Caenorhabditis elegans: one gene and its partners. The protein of the gene in region 3 interacts with the protein of the main gene of each other region in a pairwise test. Each region holds a gene or a part of one and is shown on either strand. Other genes may lie near its edges.

The links.
Region 1: the proteins of nhr-76 (region 3) and lir-3 interact in a two-hybrid assay, tested with the Caenorhabditis elegans proteins (one large-scale study listed by BioGRID).
Region 2: the proteins of nhr-76 (region 3) and Y69H2.10 interact in a two-hybrid assay, tested with the Caenorhabditis elegans proteins (one large-scale study listed by BioGRID).

The regions. Positions count from the first base shown.
Region 1 is NC_003280.10:11,182,120-11,186,838, forward strand, and holds lir-3 (Transcription factor lir-3), read right to left. Parts: upstream 2,689-4,719; 5' UTR 2,688-2,688; coding exon 2,619-2,687; intron 2,569-2,618; coding exon 2,396-2,568; intron 1,951-2,395; coding exon 1,798-1,950; intron 1,735-1,797; coding exon 1,626-1,734; intron 1,578-1,625; coding exon 1,312-1,577; intron 1,125-1,311; coding exon 1,040-1,124; 3' UTR 956-1,039; downstream 1-955. Other genes in the region: bigr-1 (HAD family phosphatase), read left to right, coding at 385-459, 508-594, 642-911; sfxn-1.2 (Sidoreflexin), read left to right, coding at 3,934-4,009, 4,502-4,719. UniProt on the Caenorhabditis elegans protein: Positively regulates the RNA polymerase III-associated transcription of small non-coding RNAs.
Region 2 is NC_003283.11:18,668,027-18,676,424, reverse strand, and holds Y69H2.10 (TIL domain-containing protein), read right to left. Parts: upstream 6,102-8,398; coding exon 6,020-6,101; intron 5,153-6,019; exon of another isoform or gene 5,086-5,152; intron 5,076-5,085; coding exon 4,293-5,075; intron 4,244-4,292; coding exon 4,067-4,243; intron 2,017-4,066; coding exon 1,921-2,016; intron 1,863-1,920; coding exon 1,588-1,862; intron 755-1,587; coding exon 619-754; intron 576-618; coding exon 406-575; 3' UTR 306-405; downstream 1-305.
Region 3 is NC_003282.8:625,615-634,015, reverse strand, and holds nhr-76 (Nuclear hormone receptor family member nhr-76), read right to left. Parts: upstream 6,480-8,401; 5' UTR 6,467-6,479; coding exon 6,407-6,466; intron 6,274-6,406; coding exon 5,946-6,273; intron 4,327-5,945; coding exon 4,261-4,326; intron 3,886-4,260; coding exon 3,709-3,885; intron 3,494-3,708; coding exon 3,375-3,493; intron 3,322-3,374; coding exon 3,110-3,321; intron 2,220-3,109; coding exon 1,993-2,219; intron 1,946-1,992; coding exon 1,836-1,945; intron 316-1,835; coding exon 172-315; 3' UTR 53-171; downstream 1-52.

The DNA of each region.
Region 1 (4,719 bases), on a different chromosome or scaffold from region 3:
ATTTCTGTTGAAATATTGAATTTTGAAATTCTCGCAAATTTTCTTGTGAGTCAAGTTCTAAATTTTTTCACAAAAAAATATGCATATTGGTACATGCGCCAAATTTTTCTGAAGTTTTGAAATTTCAATTTTTTTCGAAAAATACATGTAAATTTCCCCCAAGATTTTTTGGAGAATTTAAATCTGAACATCCATCAATTTTTATAAAAAAACTTGAACGTTCCATCGACTTTATTTTTTGGAAAAAATTTCAGAAAGATACAGCTGAAACATCGTTCCTACATTTTTAGGAAGTTTGAAATTCAAATTTATTGCAAGTTTCATGAATTTCCTTATTTTCAAAACAAAGTTTTTGAAATTTTTTCTTACTTTTTAAACTTTCAGTATGGAAACAAGCTGACTGACAACGTTGTGATAAAACCATTCACCGAGTGCCTTCGTGGAGAAAATGTTAAAATTGTAAGCTTAAAATGTTTCTAAACTTTGCCCTGAACCTAGCATTTTCAGCACAAAAATATGCAAAAAACCGTGGAAATTCTTCACAAGAAGGGCTTCAAAACCGCCATGCTGACAAACAACATGTTCTTAGATAAGGTAATCGAGTTCCTATCAATATTGAAAATTTGTTCAATGATTTTCAGGAGCACAAGGAAACCAGACTTCCATGCGATTTGACACATTTCGATGAAGTTGTAGAATCTTGTTTGGAGCATCTCATGAAACCAGACGCTCGATTTTATCATTTAGTTGAGAAAAGACTCGGAGTCAAACCAGAGGAAATTGTGTTTTTGGATGACCTCCATGAAAACATTGAAGCTGCAGAAAAGCTCGGATGGAACACAATTTTAGTAGAAGACATTGAAAAGGCGATTCATGAACTTGAGGGTTTCACTAAGGTTAAGCTGATCTAATTGGTGATGTATGTATATCTAACCGCTTTATAACTGCAATATAATTATCAAATTGTCACTTTTTATCAGGAATATAATAAATTGGAATGGTATCAAAAAATAAATAATTTGGCGATGAGAGCGATGAATCAGTTTAAGAACCCAGTTCTGTGAGCAAATTCAGGGAAACATTTTATCATTGCAGCATGCCATTCAGCTTTCATTATGTTGTCCCTGGAAAAATATGATTTTTTAAATTTGAAACTTCTACAAAAATTGTTCACAAATAATTTCATTTCAATTAATATTTCAAAGCCTTTTTAAAATAAATTGTATTGATTCTAGCAGCATGGGGATGTTTAGGTATTGTTTTAAAATATTTATATTTGAAATTTTGATTTGAAAAAACTCCAAAACTCACGTAATATTATGCGGCGGAATGTCACTTCCATGCTGCGAAACCGTATGTTTTCTCATCGTTGATTTTCGATAGTCCAAGTAATCACACTGCTTGCATTTATATTGTCTTCCAACACAATGAAGAGCAATCACATGCATTTGGAGATTCCATCGACCGCTTCTAGGCGTTTTGACTCGAACTCCACAGAGCTGACATTCATGGTAGTCGCCGACGGATTTGGCCTTTTTCGCGGCAGAATCCGAGTTGGAGCCAGATGGTTCGTCGTTCTGAAAATGAGGAATTGTGAGTCTTGGAATATAGAAAAAACTACTAACCGAGTTGACACCTATAGGCACAATTTCCGGTTCTCCACTCAACAAGCTCATCAGTTGATCTCTATACTCCTGTTCCTCGGCGTGATGATCATAACGGCGTTTGACACACCTGAAATCTTTTTTTTTTAATTTCTCGAATGTCCAGTAGATTTATTAAAGTAGATAAACTCACGGCTTGCTAGTAAGTCGAATATCCTCTTCCTCCTCCTCCTCAACAATATCGTCGTCTTCAATCGGTCCAACACCAACACTTGAAGCTTCCTGTCGGATGCCCGTAGATGTCACCATTGAATTCGAAACTTGTGAAAACGATGGAAATAGAACTCTGAAAATTTGATGAACTTAAAGTCGCAAATTTTATTTGTAAAAACTTTTCTGCTAAGTATTATACCGTATTTCCTCTAATAGTATTTCAACCAACTGATAAATTTGATAACTCAGTTGTCGTTTGTTTTATTGAAAAACTTTCGACTGACAAAATATTTGTTAAATGTTTTTCTATAGATTTGCTGTTGATTATTTATTGATATCTTTGAAATGAACCGAGATATAACTTTTTGAAAGACTAGTAGAGAATATACAGCAAATAAAGGCAGAAGGTGAGGCTTCGGAAATTTTTTTTTTGGCGAAAGAGAAGTTTTCGACAAAATAAAACCTTTTTTATTGGTTCTTTTAAGAGTGAATTTTTCTGAATTGTTTGTGAAATATAAGGTTTGATCTCAAAAATTTCCATTTTTTAAATAAAAAATATTTAAAAAAAAACCACCTACTTTTGCTCATGCACTGGATATGGAGAATGTCGAGTTTCAAATGTGACAGGAGATGAAGCTGTTTCACGGAGTTCATCTCTTGAAATTCTTGGCTCTTCTCTCTGGATTCTGTCGAGAGTCGGGTGTCGCGAAAGATCGTCCAACAGCATGAATCGAGCAAATCCATTTTCTAGCTGAAACTTTTTTTTTTCCAATTTAGTTATTTTTCACTAGAAAAACCCACCATAACTTGAACCAACTGAAGTGCTCGCTCCTTTGAGTCTATTTCTACTACGAGAAATTTTGGATCCATTCTGAGAAAAAAATTAGTTACAATATCTTAAAAGTCACGGAAGAATTCGGAGAAATATGAGGAAAAAAACCTTGAAAAAAATCCTCCCTTTCTTTCCAAATTTTCCTAAATTCTCGGCGAAAAATCAGGTTGAAAAAAACTCAAATAATTTCCTACTAAAATCCTACGGTAATGAATTTCTAGAAACAAAGAAAAAAAACTGAGCATAAGTGGCCTATAGTGATGAGATAATTCAGCCAGCAGGCAGCAGCATGCGGGCAGTCAACAGCAGTCAGCAGGCGGTCATCGATCGAAGGACAAGCAGTGCTGCGATGCAGGCAGTGAGTGGGGACTGAGAGAGTGTGCAAGATGAAGAGTGTACAGACATACGTGTACTGACGGACTGGGGAATTGGGTGGTGGAAGGGGGAAGGAAAGAGAGGGAGAGGCTGCGGAGACTGCTGTTTGGATTCAAATGCATAGCTGTTGGATTTTGCAATATATTGCAAAAAGGTGATGGGGAGATTTTAATAAAGAAGGTTTGGGTGGGGACTTTAAGAATATTGTAACTTTTTAAAGCTACCGTATTTCGGAAAATTTATTTTGCTTTATTTGAAAATTATTTTTATTTGACTTGGAACATCTGAAAAAGTGCACAAAAATTGCCGGAAATTTTTTCCGATAAATTCTCTGGTTTTTCAAGCAATTTTCGTATTGCTCGGCACTTTTGCAGTTGTTTCAAGTAAAACAAAAATTATTTTCGGATAAAAAGACTATTTTTTTATATTTAAGTTGATGGGTTTTTATCCTAAAATAATCTAGAGCACTAAAAATGCTTTAAAAATTATTTCAAAAAAATTCAAAAAATGTTTGCTGCAAAAAAAAACTGCCGGATGAAGCCAGAAAATTTTTGAAACTTTCAGTTCATTTTCTCTTCCTTCTATTTTCACAATTTTTCTGACAAATGATGAATAATCAAAGAGTTTCCTAAACAATTCGCTGCTGTACTTTTTCCTCTTGCCTTCTCTGAAACCAAAACTTCTGACTCACAATTTCCGTTTGAAAACGGGAGAGAGGAACTCTTTTTTTTCAGAAGTTTATATTTCAGTTTTTCAATTCTGAAAAATTATAAAATTTGGATATGAGACAATTAAAAATATATACATAAGTGCCACGTAAATCACGGTCTAACAAATTAAAAATAAAGAAACAAAAAAAACGTTACAAAACCACAGAACAATTCATTTATTAGTTCTCATTTGATTAAAATGAGTGAGCTTGTCAGCAATCTAAAGACTCGTCCAGATATATCGAAGCCACAATGGAGTCAAAGGACATATTACGGTAAGAATTCTTCAGGTTGCCAAAAAGTGCCAGCGAAGTTAAGACTGTTTAGATGGGATGTATCTGAAAGTTAATGTGCGGTGCATTGCAAAATTCTTGCATTTTTCAAAGTGAATAATAGCACATCGCGAAGCACATTGGACACCTTTTTCAATAATAGCACATTGGACACCTTTTTCATCGAATTATTCGGTATTTGGCTCTAGCTTCTTGCCCACGTTTTGCCCAAAACTATTAACGTTGATGAGAAATTGGCAAAACTTCGGCGAAAGTTGGGCAAGATTTTGACAAGACCTGGATTTAGGCTGCGCCAGATTTTGTCCCAAGTTTGATCAAACTCTTGGAACACTTTGGCTCAAACTTTTCTTGTGCCGCTTTGAACTTGAGAGACCCGAAAATTTGGAAACGCCAGAAATCAATAAATTACAATCTGATTTACTTCTGATTTTTAACATTTATTAACCTACATTGTAAAGAAATCCTCTTTTCCAGGTCGTGTCCGTCACTTTTTCACTCTTACTAACCCACTCACCCTGACCTCATCAGTTGCACGACAAGAGCAATGCCGACAAATTGTCTTGGACTACAAGAACGGAAAAGTCAGTCCGACGTTGACTGTGAGCGAGTTGTGGAAGGCAAAGACGTTGTATGATTCCACGTATCATCCGGATACCGGGGAGAAGATGTTCTTCTTGGGAAGAATGAGTGCA
Region 2 (8,398 bases), on a different chromosome or scaffold from region 3:
AGGCACTAAAATTGCGTCAAGGCACTAAAAATGCGTCAAGGAAATAGAATAGCTTCAATGCACTAGAATTGCGTCAAGGCACTAGAATTGCGTCATGGCACTAGAATTGCGCCAAAGCATTTGATTTGCGTCAAGGCACTAAAAATGCGCCAAGGAAATAGAATAGCGTCAAGGCACTAGAGTTGCGTCAAGGCACTAGAATTGCGCCAAGGCACTAGAATTTCGCCAAGGCACTTAAAGTGCGCCAGGAAAAATCATTATTCAAGTTTTCGAGTAATTCGACTACGAGAATTTCAAATTTTCCATTTATTTTGTGGTGCTGAGCACAAGAAAATATTCACCAAAAAATTATTTATACATTTCCAATATCCAAATACACAATTTTCACAGAAAATCAGAGAAATTTCAGAAGCATTTAGCCGTCTCCACACAGAGCCCAGTAGTACTCCTCGAGAACCCATCCAAGCATCCACAGCCACTCCAGCAAGCCTTGCAGCTCGGATTTGCAGTTTGGAAGCACACTTTTTCGCAGTTATGACACTTGGACCACGCCTCGTTGTCACTGCATTTGGTTGCTGGAAATATTGATTTTTCTGGAAATTCTGAGCTCCGACTTACTCCCAAAACATTGCCTGGAATGGACACACTGGCCACTGTCAGAATCTCGCTTGTAAGCTGGCCGGCAAGTGCACCCGGGTAGGCATTTTGCCGGGGCTTTTGTGGTAGCGGTTCCGTTTTTGGCTTCGATACAGAACTGAAATTTTCAAATTTTTAGAAATTAAATTGACTTTCATTGATTTTTCTGGAAATTTATCGATTTTTCTGAAAATTAATCGATTTTTCTGAAAATTTATTGATTTTTCTAAAAATTTATTGATTTTTCTGAAATTTTTTGATGTTTCTGAAAATTTATTGATTTTTCTAAAAATTTATTGATTTTTCTGAAATTTTTTGATTTTTCTGAAAATTTATTGATTTTTCTAAAAATTTATTGATTTTTCTGAAATTTTTTGATTTTTCTGAAAATTTATTGATTTTTTTCACTAATTTAAATTTTAATTTTTCCAAATTCAGAATGCGATTTCTTTCCACATATTAAACGGGTGCTCGATGTTGTTCAATGCTTTGATGTAAAAAATGAAAAATTCACCAAAAAAAGAAAAAAAAATGAAAAAAAAATGAAAAAAAATGAAAAAAAAATGAAAAAAGAATGAAAAAAAATGAAAAAAAAGAGAAAAAAAGAAAAAAGAAAGAAAAAGGAAAAAAAAGGAAAAAAAAGAAAAAAGAAAGAAAAAAAATTTTTTTAAAGAAAAAAGAAAGAAAAAACAATTTTTTTAAAAGAAAAAAGAAAGAAAAAAAATGATAAATTTCTTTTGTTTTTTTCATTTTTTTACATTTTTTTTCATTATTTTTCCATACTTTTTTTATTTTTTTTCACTTTTCGTTATAAATATTCTCTTAGACGTAAAAATTTGTGAAAATTTCGAATTTTTCTGTCTCAAAGCCCAATTTTACGCAAAAAATGAAAAAAAAAAGAACAACAAGGGGAAAAAACGAAAAAAGTGAAAAAAAATGACATATGCTCACCTGATTCGGCACCCCTGAGCACGTTTTCTCACACTCTGGCATACACGCCGTGTAGACTTCAGCGCCAGCACACGAAACACCTTCCGTTACAGTAACCGGGCACTTTGACATGAGCTCACAGACCCCATTGATCCTCACATAACCACGTATGCAGGCACATCCTGACGTGCAGGTGGTCGAGTTCATGCACGGCGGGGACGGTTCTTCACAGGTACCCTCACAGCCCGACTTGCACGCCGAGAACTCCTCGTTGGCGCCCACGCATTTTGGGGCTTCTGGAATGGGTTTTGGGTTTTTTGAGGGGGTGGGGTGTGGGGGGGGGGGGGAACTCACGCTTAAGCTGTATGCATTGGGCAGGTTTTCCCATAGTTTGGAAGCAAATGTCTCCGGGTGAGCACTTGATGCCAAGGCATTCACCGGCGGTGCCGTCTGATAAAATTTTCGATGAACTTTGATTAGTTAGGATTTTTCGATATTTTTCGGTGAAAATCGAATAATCGAAAAATCGAAAAATTTTTGATTTTTCGATTCTCTGGAAAATCGAAAAATAGAAAAAATTGTTCAAAAAGTTTACTATAAAATATGAGTTTTTATCGAATTTTGTTTATATTGATAAGAAAAAAACATCTAAATTTCCTCTAAAAAGAAGAATAACGGCGAAAATATTAAGCTAATTTTTGAAAAATCGAAAATTTTTTCGAAGAATTCGAAAATCGAAAAATCGAAAATTTTTCGTTTTTCGATTTTCTAAAAAAATCGAAAAATCGACACCCTTGGGGTTTCGGGGTAATTTCGGGTGGAGAATTCGAATTTTCACTCAATTTTTCAAAAATTTTTGTTTGAAGAACTGAAAAAAAAAACTTTCCCATTGTGACTTGGCCCAAACATCAAATTTTCGCAAAATTAATGTTAAATTCGAATTCCCCATGGTAAATTACCCCGAAACCGCAGTTTTCAGAATTTTAGCGCAAAATTCCGTCAAATTTGGTGCCGGGTTCGCAAACACCATGCTACAGTAACCCAAAACACCGGATTTGACGACATTTTGTACTAGAGCTCTGAAAATCGGGGCTCAGGGGTAATTTTTGGTGGGGAATCCGAATTTCGACTTGAAAATCTAAAATTTTGGGGATTTTGTCTAAATGCACTTAAAATGATCAAAAACGACCGAATATCATAATAAAACACTCTAAAAAATTTTCGATTTTTCATAATTTCCGGTCAAAGTTTTGGCAAATGGCCAAAATTTTGAAAAAAACGAGCATTTGAGAAAATTTAAAGAAATATCACATGTCTCGACCATGAGTGGCAAAAACTGAGTAATTGCCACTTTTTGACAAAAAAAAATTTTCTAAATTTTATATGATTTTTTGAAAAATGAAAAAATCTCGAATTGCATCAAATTCCCATTTGAATTACGCGCCAATAGTTTGATGTTCGATGGAGCGCGCTTGCATCATTTTTAAATATTTATTCATCAATTTTTCACATTTTTGACTGATTTTTTCGTGTTTTTTCGCGTAATTTCACTGAAATTCAGTGAAAAATTTAAGATAAATGCAAATTCTTTATTAAAAAGTGGAGATGAAGGCTCAATGTCATTGGAAAACGTTCTTTCTCTGTTTTTCACTGATTTTTAGTGAACAATTTGCATTTATCTCACATTTTTCACTGTGTTTCAGTAAAATTATGCAAAAAAACATGAAAAATCAATCAAAAATGTGAAAAATTGAAAAATAAAAATTAAACAATGACAAGCGCGCTCCATCGAACTTTTCAGAAAATTTTAAAATTTTAAACCTATTAAAATAAGCGCGCCAAAAGCTTCAAAATTAATATATAATCATGACTAGGTTCTGAAAACTTGGATTTTTCCAAAATTTTGGGTCTCGCCGCGAAAATGAAACAAGCTACCATAACTTGCACAGTTTTGCTGCGAATTTCAAAATTTTTAAATTATGAAAATGAGCGCGTCAAGAGCTTCAAAATAAGTATACTGATGACTAGGTTCTAGAAATTTTGGAATTTCCAAAATTTTGGGTCCCACCACGAAAACGGAAAAGTTACTGTAACTCGCACAGTTTTGATGCGAATTTAAAAATTTTTAAATTATGAAAATAAGCGCGTCGAGAGCTTTAAAATAACTTTAAAATAAATACTCATGACTAGGTTCTAGGAATTTTTGAATTTTCAAAATTTTTCGTCCCACCACGATAACCTAAAACTGGCGCAAATTTTAAAAATTTTCAAATACTCAGATTTAGTTGACTTCAAGCAACTCAAAAACTATTGGCGCGTAATACAAATGGGAATTTGATGCAATTCGAGATTTTTTCAATTTTCAAAAAACCATATAAAATTTTGAAATTTTTTTGAAATTTTCTTACTATGATTTTCGGTCGTTGTAGTACCATAGGCATGTTTTAAAGCAATTTTCCCCACTGGCCCTACCCTCCAGCACTCCTACAGTACCCCTTACCCAGTTTGGTATAACAAGTGTAGGCGTTGCTAGTGACGTTATCAAAGCACTTCATGCCCACTTGACACGGCTCATCAATACAGTAACGGCGATCCGGGAGCCGTGGGATGCAGGTCTGTGTCGAGTTTAGTGGCGACGCGCAGACCTGCGTAGAGGTACATGTAGCGGATCCGCAGGCTGGAAAAAGAGAAGCTTGAAGCCTAAAATATAATCGTCCAAGCCTTACCAGTACTGGGGGCCGCAGGTGGCTTGGTTGTAGTGCCCATTGATGGCGGATTGGTGATCGGAAGCAATGTGGGGAGCCCGGTGAGATTCACTGGAGCCATCGTCGGGAGTCCTAGGATGGTTAGGTTCATTGGGGACATGGTAGGCAGTGCGGGTAGGCTTAGGTTCAGTGGAGCAAAAGTTGGCATGGTGCCAAGTCCCAGGTGGCTCAGGTTCAACGGGGCCATTGTAGGAAGGCTGGGGAGCTCGGGGAGACTGAGATTCAGTGGAGCAAAAGTTGGCATCGTGCCAAGACCTAAATGGCTCAGGTTTAGTGGAGCCATCGTAGGAAGCCCTGGGAAGCTCAGGTTCAGTGGTGCAAAAGTTGGCATGGTGCCAAGTCCCAGGTGGCTTAGATTGAACGGAGCAAGGGTAGGTAGCGTGAAGTTGGATAGATCGCCTAGCACCAGGGGAGCAAATGTTGGCATGGTTGGAAGTGTGAAATTCATGAAATTTGGCAGACTCAGATTCAGCGGAGCCATTGTTGGAAGCCCCGGGAAACTAAGGTTCAGTGGGGCAAAAGTTGGAAGGGTAAAGTTCCCGAAGCCTGGCAGCGTGCCAAGTGTAGGTAGGGTGAAATTTCCAAGGCCAGGAATTGGACCAAATGTGGGTGGTGGTACTGGCGCCATTGGGTTCAGCGTTGGTACGGTGAAGTTCGGAAATACCAGCGGTGGGAACAGTGTTGGAAGGGTCTCATTTCCATATGGGGATACTGTTGGGGCGGGGGGTGTTGTTGGTAGGGGGTCTGAAATTAGAATTTTTGAATTCAGCAGAGCGAGAGCTTTCGAATAAGTATAATCATGACTAGGTTCTAGAAATTTTGGAATTTTCAAAATTTTGGGTCTCGCCACGAAAATGTAAAAAGCTGCCGTAACTTGCACAGTTTTGGGGCGAATTTTAAAATTTTAAAACTATTAAAATTAGCGCGCCAAAAGCTTCAAAATGAGTATAATCATGACTAGGTTCTGAAAACTTGGATTTTTCCAAAATTTTGGGTCTCGCCGCAAAAATGAAACAAGCTACCATAACTTGCACAGTTTTGCTGCGAATTTCAAAATTTTTAAATTATGAAAATGAGCGCGTCAAGAGCTTCAAAATAAGTATACTGATGAAACAAGCTACCATAACTCGCACAGTTTTGATGCGAATTTAAAAATTTAAAAATTATTAAAATAAGCGCGCCAAGAGCTTTAAAATGAGAATAATCATGACTAGGTTCTCGAAATTTTGGAATTTTCAAAATTTTGGGTCTCACCACGAAAACTTGAAGGGGGCCGCAACTCGCACAGTTTTGCTGCGAATTCCAAAATTTTTAAATTATGAAAATGAGCGCGTCGAGAGCTTTAAAATAAGTATACTCATGACTAGGTTCTAGGAATTTTTGAATTTTCAAAATTTTTGGTCCCACCACGATAACCTGGTGCAAATTTTAAAAATGTTCAAATACTCAGATTTAGTTCACTTCAAGCAACTTGAAAAAAAAAGTATGATTATGACTAGAATCTAACGAATTGGAAATTTGGGTCCCGCCACGACTTTATAGGGACGTAGAGGCCAACATTTTCAAAATAATCGGAATATAGTCATGATTATACGTGTTTGAAAACTAATAATGAGCTGAATTCAAATTTTCACAAATTTAAGTTTAAAAATCATAAATTTTCAAGAAAGGTCAACAAAAAAACCCACCACTTCCCGTCGATTTTTCTGGAAAACCGATCAAAATAGCGCATAAATACAGTAACCCTAGCAATGATGTTTTTGTGAACATATTACCAATGTCAAATGACATCAAAATATGTTATTTTATAGTAATTCGAGGTTTAGACCAACAGTTAAGCCGATAGGGAGAGAGGTTTGGTGGTCGTAAATTGGAAAAACAAACGGCGATGGGGGGATTTCAGAGATTTTCATCGTGATTTGTACTTTTCTGAGGGTGTAGTTTGACGAAATTGTTGAAAATTTTGAAATTCCACATTTTAGGGGAGTTTCAGAAAAAAAAAAAAAAAATTTTTTCAAAATTCTCAAAAAAAAAATTTTTTTCAAAATTTTTTTCTGCTATTTTTATTCAAATTATATTTATAAGCAGTTATCTGATTATTTTTCCAGTCATAAGATTTCATTTTTGCCCACTTTGCACCTCAATTTTTGATTTTTTTTTTCTTTTTTATGTTTGTAAATATTTGCTGTGTATTTAGTTTTTGATTGATTTTTCTTGTTTGCTTGGTAATTAGAACTGTTTTTTTTTACTTCCTGATGTCTATTTCTGTAACTTCGGTGCAAGTTTACCTGAGGAACTAGATTTTAGCCGGCTTTTCAAGCCTGAGGGGGGGGGGGGGGGGGGAATCGACAACACCCACCAAATGCTCGACTTCTAAAAAGTGGCAAATTTTTGTAGTTAAAAACTGGTTGGCTTATGAAAACTTACGATTTTTGTGTGGATTTGCATGAATAAGCATTCTTTGAAAATTTGAGAAAAAAATATCAGAAAATTCAAAAAATTTTTTGAAAATCGCAGAATTTTTTTTTTCAAAAATCTCAAAAAAAAATTGATTTCCAAAAATTTTAGTTTTACTACATTTTATGTTGTTTAACTATATACATTCTTGTTGTAACATCAACTTTGTCTTTTTATACCTAAAAGGGCCACAATTTCCAAATACACCAGCCTAAAAGAAAGCGACAACACCGATTGCTCGAGTGCCAAATTTAGTCAGTGTACTACTAATTTGTCAAGAAAATTAATCTTAATTTTAGTGTGAACTAAAACTAATATAAATATTTCAAAATTTGAGAATAAAAATTCAGAAAATTGGAAAAAAACGTTTTATTTCTCAAAAAAAAAATTTTTTTTTCAAAATTATCCAAAAAAAAAAATTTATTCATTAAATTTTGCAAATCATAATTTATCATTGCCTCGCTATAATTAAAAGTGCTGTATTCTGAAGAATCCAGGTCAATGGAAATTGATAACACCAATTGCTCACTGTCTAAAAAGAGCCGAATTTTGGCCGTTAACTACTGATTTGTCGAGAAAATTGTACATAATCTCTATGTCATAATGTGTTACATAATGTCAAACTAATAGAAATAGTTCAAAACTTGAAAAAAAAATTCCAAAAACTCAAAAAAAAAATTTTTTTTGAAATTGCAAGAAAAAAATTTCAAAAATCTTTAAAAAAAAATTGTATTTCCAAATTTTCTGTTTTACTATACTATACTTTTTTTTAAAACTTTATATGACTGTTATATCATTTTCTGTCCGTTTCTAGCTGAAAAGGTCACACATAATTCCCAACTAAACCAGCCTATGTAAAAGAAAGCGACAACACAAATTGCTCGTTCTCAAAAAACTGCTCAATTTTTAGAGATAACTACCAGTATGTTAAGAACATTGTACTTAACTTTTGTGTAAATTCAAACTATTACAAAAATACTGAAATTTGAAAAAAATAACAGTTTTTCAAAAAAATATTTTTTTTCGAAAAGTTAACAAAACATTTTTTTTCAAAATGTTCAAAAAAAATATTTTGCAATATTTAATGTTTTAACATATTTATACAACTTTGATTAAAATATTATATATGTGTAATTATATTATATATGTATTATATATTATGTATTATGTATTATGTATTATATATAATATATATATATATATATATATATATATATATATATATATATATATATATATATATATATAATATTTATATATATTATACATATATATATAATTATATATTATATATATATTGTATTATGTATTATATATTGTATTATATATTATATTATATTATATTATATATGTACTAATCGTAATTTTCATTGCATATCACTAAAAGTCCTATATTCTGTAGAAACCAGGCCAATGGAAATCGACAACACAAATTGCTCGCTGTCTAAAAACATCCAAATTATGGCAATAAACCACTAGTTTGCTTAAAAAAAATCATAATTAATTTTAGTGCAAACTGAAGCTAATAGAAATAGTTAAAAATTTTAGAAAAAAATTCAAAAAATTCAAAAAAAAATTTTCCAAAATTTTTTTCCAAATTTTCAAAAAAA
Region 3 (8,401 bases):
GCAAAAGTATAAAGTTCAGAATACGCAAAAAAAAAAACGAAAAGTAAAACATAAATTATAAATATTTATTACAATTTCTTTTGAAACTTTAAAACTAGCGAATCAATTTCTAGCGAAAAGTATTTTCTAGCGGGCTGGGTATTCTATGTACAACTGCAGGACATTTTGGGGTTACGTGAACGCGAGATCATCAATTAATTTATCATATTCCATCACATTGAACACACGAATCACGTGAAAATTTTCACGGTGAACTGCCATCGCATTGCGGACGGCTGTCAGAAGAAGCAACGTGTTGCCCACGAGAAGACCAGCCTGGAAACTAGAAGAGGATGAGAGAGCGTAGGTGAGGAGGAGAGCGCAGAGAAAACATCTAGGTGCTCAGCGGCCTCTCCGCTGTTTCAGAATAAGAGAAGTATCTAGATTTTTCCAGAAATATTTTGACTTTTCTAGGGATGAATGGTCAATGAATGATCGAAAATCTTACAGAAATTTTGATCGAAATCGTTTCAAGATTTTTCAAAATTTCCAGAAAGCCTTTTTAGATTGTTGTTGAAATTTTCAAATAGGTGGTCCAGAATAGTTCAGTTTTTGTAGAACTTACCAAAAATCCCAGAAACTTTTCAAATATTTTCGAAATCTCTAGAAAGTTCTAACACATTTAAAGGTGGTGTACACTGCAACTTTTTCCTCACGAGGGACGAGGAAAAGTGGTTTCTAGACCATGGCCGAGGGGCCGACAAGTTTCAGCGGCCATTTATGTTGCTTTGTTTTCCGCGTGTTTTCTTTTGTTTTGCACCAATTTTTCCCGTTTTTTCTTATTAAAACTAATAAATAAATATTTTTTGCAGATGCTAAAACAATTTCCAAGTGAAAAAAGTCTGTATTGAGTCGGTAAGTAGCGGTGAAAGTGCTCAATGTAATATGATGGATTACGGGAATACAAAACCTAAACTTTTTCCCAAACATGATACATACGCTGCTTAAATGCTGAAACTACCTGATTTTCATAACGAGACAGCTAAAAAAATTTTGAGGTTTTCAAAATTCAACTTTTTTGGTGAAAAAGTAGAGATTTTCGCATAAAATGTTGAATTTTAAAAATCTCAAAACTTTTTCAGCGGTCTCGTTATGAAAATCAGGTAGTTTCAGCATCTAAGCAGCATATTTATCATGTTTGGAAAAAAGTTTAGGTTTAGTATTCCCGTAATCCATCATATAACATTGACCACTTTCACCGCTACTTGCCGACTGAATACATAATTTTTTCATCTGGAAATTATATTAGCATTGGCAAAAAATATTTATTTATCAGTTTTAATAAGAAAAAACGGGAAAAATCGGTGAAAAACACAAGAAAACAAAGCAAGTACAAAATGTCGTTATATGCGGTGTATTGTGTGCAAACACCGATTTTTTGCATTTTTTCTAGGCCCCCGTTTGAAAAAAGTTGCAGTGGTGTAGTCCAATTTTTTAATTGCTTTTTTTTTAAATTTTTTTAACCAAATCTTGCCGTCCATCGACTTTGAAACAACTAAATGAAGTTGGAAACGCGCAAGATAATTACATTGTGTACTTAAAATTTGACGGTGATTTCAAAAAAAAAATTGTTTCCAGCCGCTGTGACATTGACAAGTTGGTCAAATTTACAATTTTAACAAATGTTAGGCCATTTTTTGAGACGCCATAACTTTTTTTTGAAAAGTTTCCAAGAAGTTTCATTTTGAAATTCGGTGTTTTCAGACAATTTTGATTTTCATAAACGTTCAGAACAAACCAGAATCTTCTAGAAAATTTAAGATCACGAAATTTTTAAATGAAGGATGCTTCTCTACCTCATGTGGGTCTATCCCCTGTTTCGCATAAAACTCGAACCAATCCTTCATCACCCGATTTCTGGCCATCACTACGGCGTTACGACTCGCGTCCGATAAGTTATCAGCGGCTGAAATTGCACTTTCAATTGACACCTCTCTTCCAGACAGCACTAACCTGTATTGAATAACAATATTGCAAAAAGAGCACAAAACTCGGTGTCTGTCATTCTAGAGTGCTCTAACGCGGATCCAAGTTCGTTCAAACACGACCGCAGCGGGTCGTAGAGCAGTTTCAGACACGTTTCCTTGTCCATGACAGACTCGGTGATTTGTGTGAATTCGTCGTCGAATTGAGCACCATGATCACTCAAATCCGTGTAGGACCCGTCCGGAGCAATTAGTCTGAAATCGAGAAAAGTTTTGCAGAGAGTAGAACAATTCTGATGCTCTCAAGAAAATGCGAGAAAAATTGTGATGAAATCTGGAGTATTCTAAAATTGAAAATTCGAAAAATTAAAAAATTTTATATTTTCGATTTTTTAAAGAAAATTCGGTCAAATTTTTTAGGTAATTTTTTTTTGAAATTTTGTTGAATTGAAAAGTTGAAAAATCGAAAAAAATGGAGATTTTTTCCTTTAATTTATTTTTCAAAAAAAAAAATGACCAGAATTGTTGAATTGCAATTTCCGAAAAAATGTTGAGAGTTTTTTAGAATTTTCAAGAATGGTTCAAAAAATCCTCGAACGTCCTGGAACCTTTTTTGGAAAATTTGAGATCACTTTCAAGTATTCTGCGACGCTCTAGAAAACACTAAATGTTTTTGGAAACGTGAAACAACTTTTGGAATTTTCTGAAAAATGGTACATATTGGAAAATGCCAGGAAATTCTGACATGTTCTGAGAACTCTGGATCTTCCTGAGCATTTCTAGAAATTCCTGGAAAGTTATATAAATTTTTGAATATTCTGGAACTCTCTAGAAATAGCATAGAATGTTCAGGGACTTTTTAGAAACAAATTTTTTGGAATATTCGGAAACTTTCTCGTAAGTTTGACATGACCTAGACCTTTCAAAAAATTCTAAAAATATCTGGGCATTACTGAAACTGTCTGGAACGCTCTGGAAAATTCTGGAATGTAAAGGTCTCTAGAAAATCGAAATATTTTTAGAAATATCGAGAAAGTTGTGGAATTTTTCGAAAACAATTTTTTCCTAAAACTAGAGTTATCCTACAGTAGCCATAGAGTACTAGAAAAGTACCCTAACAATAAAAATAAAATGCAAAGCCCTACTTTTGAGTTCTCAACCCATCATATTTCACAGAAATATAATATTTCTCCAGCATGGCCAATGACACAGCACATCCCTTGACTAATGTCTCCTTGGTATCCAGGTCCATCTGTCGGAACACGCTCATTGAATTCATCATCTCCACGTACAAAACCAACTCAAATCGCATTTTTTCCTTGTAATATCGTTCGTCAAATCTCGTTGGTCGCATCTTCTGAAATCCGAAAGAAATTGCTAAAAAGAAGCCATAGTTAGTACAGTAATTACTAAGCCGGTGCCTCCGAGCATCTCGCGAAGTGATCCGTTACAGTAGAACATTCGACGTCGCTCCACAGAGTTTTTGTATAGTGCGGCAAGGGTTTCGATGTAGTTTTCGCCGGGAATTTCTGAACTTTGGATGAGTTGGGATGGGTTGGAATTAAAGAAGCATGGGAAGGATCAGGTTTTAAAAAAGGATGAGAGAAGCAGGTTCAGACTGTTGGGCATCACGCTCGCCTTTTCATCGACTTGCAGCCGACAGCCAACAACGGGCTCGTGAACCGCAAGGTGTCGGCCGCAGGATTTACAGAGGGCGGGCGTGGTGCCCCATTTTCGTACTCACCTTTTGGAGCAACTGGAAGTGGTTCATTACATGTGCTCGTACTGGATATCCAACTACCCGGAGTTGCAGCAGAGAACAGAATATCGTCGAGCTTCTCCTTTTTATCCTCCTCCTCGGCTTCCTGAATCATTTCTGCTGGGGACCGTGGCTTGATCGAGTCTCGAAGGTTTTGGACGCCTGGAATCGGAAATTATTTTATTTGTGCCGACCTGCCTACATGTCTACGCGCCTGCCTACCGACTATCTGCCTGCCAATCAAAGTGAATGCTTGCCAGCCTATCAGCCGTTCAAAGGCCTACATACCTATGTGTCTGACTGTCTACCTTCGAGTTAAATTTATGCGCCCGTCATTTTCAGGGACACAGTCTTACTGTGATGTTAAGCAGCTTAATAGGTGAATCTTTACAGGTAGGCAGGCCATACCGTACCTACAATTAGGCGCTCTCACTTTTTTGCGCCCTCTCCCCCTAGACAGATTCCATCTTCTCGACAAGAACAACTCATATTTCAGAGATCAAAATCTCCGAATTCTCGAAAAAAAAGTTTACTTACTGCTCGGATTCATCCCCATATCGATACACCTTACGTATCGGCATGCTCGACAATTTGATCGGTGTCCTGAAACAAGGAAGTTGATTTTTTTTGTCATTTTTGTCAAATTTGCTTGATTTGTACAAATTTTTTCGAGTACGCACCACTACTATTACTACTGATAAGCAGAACACACGGGGCTTTTACATAATTTTACCCCGATAAAATTGTTTGTCTGTCTAGCAATTTTCGTTCGATAGAATAGAGTTTTGTTTTCTGGTGACTAGAAATCGAATACTGTAAGTGTTCAATTCATAGTTGAATAGACAAAAAAGTGAGAGAAAGAGAAAAAGGGAAATATATATTGAAAATTGAATCATGTTGCCGTTATCGACACAATTGGCCACATTTGGAAATAGAACATGGGAAATTGGGAAATGAAATTGGAACGAAGCAATGCCAGACAAACCAAAAAGTTAATCGAAAATTTTGGATACATGCCAAAATGCCAAAAAAAATTTTCTCACAAATTATTTGTTTCTAGTTTTTTTTTAAAGTTTCGTGCTAGACTTGAATTGAAATTAGGCACAGTTATGCCTACGCACATAGCTACCTGCCTGCCTTTTTGCGAACCTGCCTATTCAACTTTGTGCTCTGAATTTTACAAAAAAAAAAGCTAGAATTCAAAAATTTGCCCTTTATTCCCAGAGGAATATGTTATAGTTGCAAAATAATAGTTGCAACAGTTGCAATCAATTTCCATGTCAAGTTGGATGTACATACCTTTACCTTTTGCCAACAATGCAACCTACCTCCCTGCCTGCCTATTGGGCAACCTAGGCCTACCACCTGCCTACGGAAATGTAATTATTGCTCACTTAAAAGGAGAAATACGTAAATCTACACTGTAAATACACAGGCAAAACTGCGACCTAGGCCTACCTCGTACCTACATACGTCCATAAATGTTTTGCTCATTTTCTTACACAAACGTTTGGAAATCTACACCGTGTAAACCGCCAATAATCAGAAAATAGACAGCTAGGAAGACAGGTAGCCAAGTAATAAAAATTGCCTACCTACTGTAGACTCCTTACTATAAAAACTAGTATTCACTCAGGCAGGCATGTTGGCATGTAGGCGTGCCTGCCTACTATTCGAGTCTAGTAAAGTCATAGGATTATTGTAGTTGTTCACTAAAGTTTAAAAATTGTTCTAGAATCCGGTTATCAAATTCACTTTTTCATATCTCTCACGTTTGCCGAAGCTGGTCAAAGTCTACAAAAAGGAGGCCCCACGAAAAGGGGAGCAGAACGAAAAGGGGATCTGCAAAAAGGGGATCTGCGAAAAGGGGAGATACGAAAAGGGGAGATACGAAAAGGGGAGCAACGAAAAGGGGATCTGGCACTGTGCCAAATGCTATTTTTCTCGAAGAAAACGATACAACGATGCTCCGATGTTACGCGTCGCGTGTTGTTAAGCGTATCTTCCAGAAGAAAATTTCAAAAATCAACGTGCGTTGCGTGAGAAAAATTGCGTTTTGTGCGTTTGGCACAGTGCCAGCTCCCCTTTTTGTTGCTCCCCTTTTCGTAACTCCCCTTTTCGTATCTCCCCTTTTCGCAGATCCCCTTTTTGCAGATCCCCTTTTCGTTCTGCTCCCTTTTCGTGGGGCCTCACAAAAAGGGTACGGTAAAAAATGAACTAACGTCTATCCAGCGGACACAGCGAGTTGCCAACTGGATCCCTCCTACAGTAGTACCTCCTCGAAAGCACTACGGTACGTCGAAAAAACGCTGAACAAGCGGCACACGCAATACACCCAAAATGGTATCCACTGGAGTTGGGGTTCTTGCACACCGCACACTCTTTCTTCTCTGAAGCCGAGGAGCACGATGATGTGGATGGTGGTGATGATATAGCTGATGGTGGAGATGGCTTCATATAGGCGTTGGGATTTGATGAGTGTGGGAAGGAAGGAGGTACTGAAGGTGTTGTGGTGGAGGATGAAGGCGTCTCGAAGGGGTACCCGGTGAGCTGGAAAAGTTCTGATCGAGTAAGTTATAGTTTTGGCACAACATTTATTGTATCTAGGTGCGCCGGTTTAGTCTAGCCGAGAATCGGCTTCTGAGCCAAGCCGGTATTCTAAAAAAAACCGGCAGTAGCTCACCTGTCCAGCACCATTCAGCTTCATCATGGCCAACACCTTCTGCTTCCCGAGCACCTCCATTTTGCTAACTAATCTGAAATAATTTGAAAATTTTAATTAAAAAAAAATTTTATTTGAAGAAAGAAAACATATCAAATAATTACAAAATACGGTTATTGTAAAATAAAAGTAACGAACGATATGAGTAATCGGAAGAAACCTGCCAGTTGGGGAAGTATGAGGAAGTTTTCCGGGTTACTGTAGGTCAGGGAAAATGTTGTGAGGCACGAGGTAGGCGTAGGCCGTCTTAAAGTAGGCAGGTAGCCAAATCTCCAATTCATGAAAATTTCATATGAATTTCATATTTGATACACATGTGGTATGATAATTATCAAAAAAAATTATCAAAAAAAGTGATTGACATATATTTACAGCGGATATTTTATTATTATTCTTAGGCGGCCTACGCCTACCTTATGCCTATGATTTTCAAAAAATCAATTGAGATTGGAAATTGCAAACAAAGGTAATAAGGTAGTAGGTAGGCAGGCATGAAAACATGCATGCCGAAAATTAAAATGTTATTAGAATTTTTAAATTTTGTGAAATATCCTAACTATAGGAATAATTCCAAAAGTGAATTTAAGGCCTGTGCCTGCCTGAAACCTGCCTGCCTTTATCTGCATTTAGAATTGAATTTAGAAGTTGAAAGTTTCCTCATCTCAATCGATTTGTTGAAAACAAAGTTAAGAAAGGAGCAATGAATTGGCAAGTGTTTTAGCGGAAGGCGCAAGGCACGCGAAAGTCACCTTAAGGGGAGGCAGGTAGGTACGCATTAGAAGCCTGTATGGAAACTCTAGTTTGCGTAAAATTTTTATTCAGAAACACCAATGTTGAAAAATATGAACTTTAAGCTTCAGAATTTCAGAACCATTTATCTTAAAACTTGGGAAACTTTTGGGAAACTAAATATTTTTTGTAAATATTTTTCCAAAAGCAGTATTAATCACATTCTAAACTGCTAGATAGTGTTAATTTGCAATCGAAACTTGACAAGATAAGTGATCATCAGAAACTTGGGAAAACAGATGCGAAATGTTGCGAGCGGCAGAGAAGGGAGACGGGCGAACAAGTGATATCGAACAAAAAAGCAAAAAAAAACGAAGGAAAAAATAGGAAAAATAGAACGACCGGCAGACGCAGACAGTTTGGGTAGGGAGAAGGAGTGGCTAACTGTCAAGTTTTTCGGTTTTCAAAAAATGAATGACATCTTGCACTTTCCCCCTGCATCCTTCTATCAAAAGTGCACACACTTGTTTATGTGTTTGGTTTGAGAACATTTTTTTTAAATTGTAATCAGAATGAATTGAAAAGAATCGGAATCGGCAACATATTTCTATCTCTTAGTGGTTTTTTTTTCGTTCGTGTTATGTTTCTTTTCCGCTCTCTTTTCAAAGTGCAAGTTGCCGGCCGTCAGAGGCGGGGTTAGGCGGGGGCAGTCTGCCTAGACAGAGAAACATCAGGAAAAGAAAGAAAGAGTTTGATACTTGTTTATTGGTTAAAAAAAAAATGAAAAATTGGATGAGGATTTGGCGGGGCGAACACAAGTTCGGAGATCACACGAGTATTTTGAATTTTAAAAATATTAAAAAATAAATCCTACCCTCGTACCACTTTCACAGCTGATAGATATCTCGGCTCCCTTTGATTTTATCAAAAAATTGTCAACGGACAAGATATGTGCGAAATATTTTTCTAGATTTTCAAAGTAAACGTTTTTTCGATTCCGGCAAATCGGCAAATCGGTAAACTGCCAAATTGCCGATTAGCCGAAAATTTTTGGAAAATTGTGGTTTTGTACTTCTTTTTGGAATTCCCAGAATTTCAATTTTAAAAGGCAAAATTGTATACATCTTATGAATGTTCCTACATCTATTTTGAAAAGTAAGCAAATTCTATGAAAACATTCAAAGGAAACGGGACGAACATTTCAAAAAGGCACAGTTTTAAGTTTTT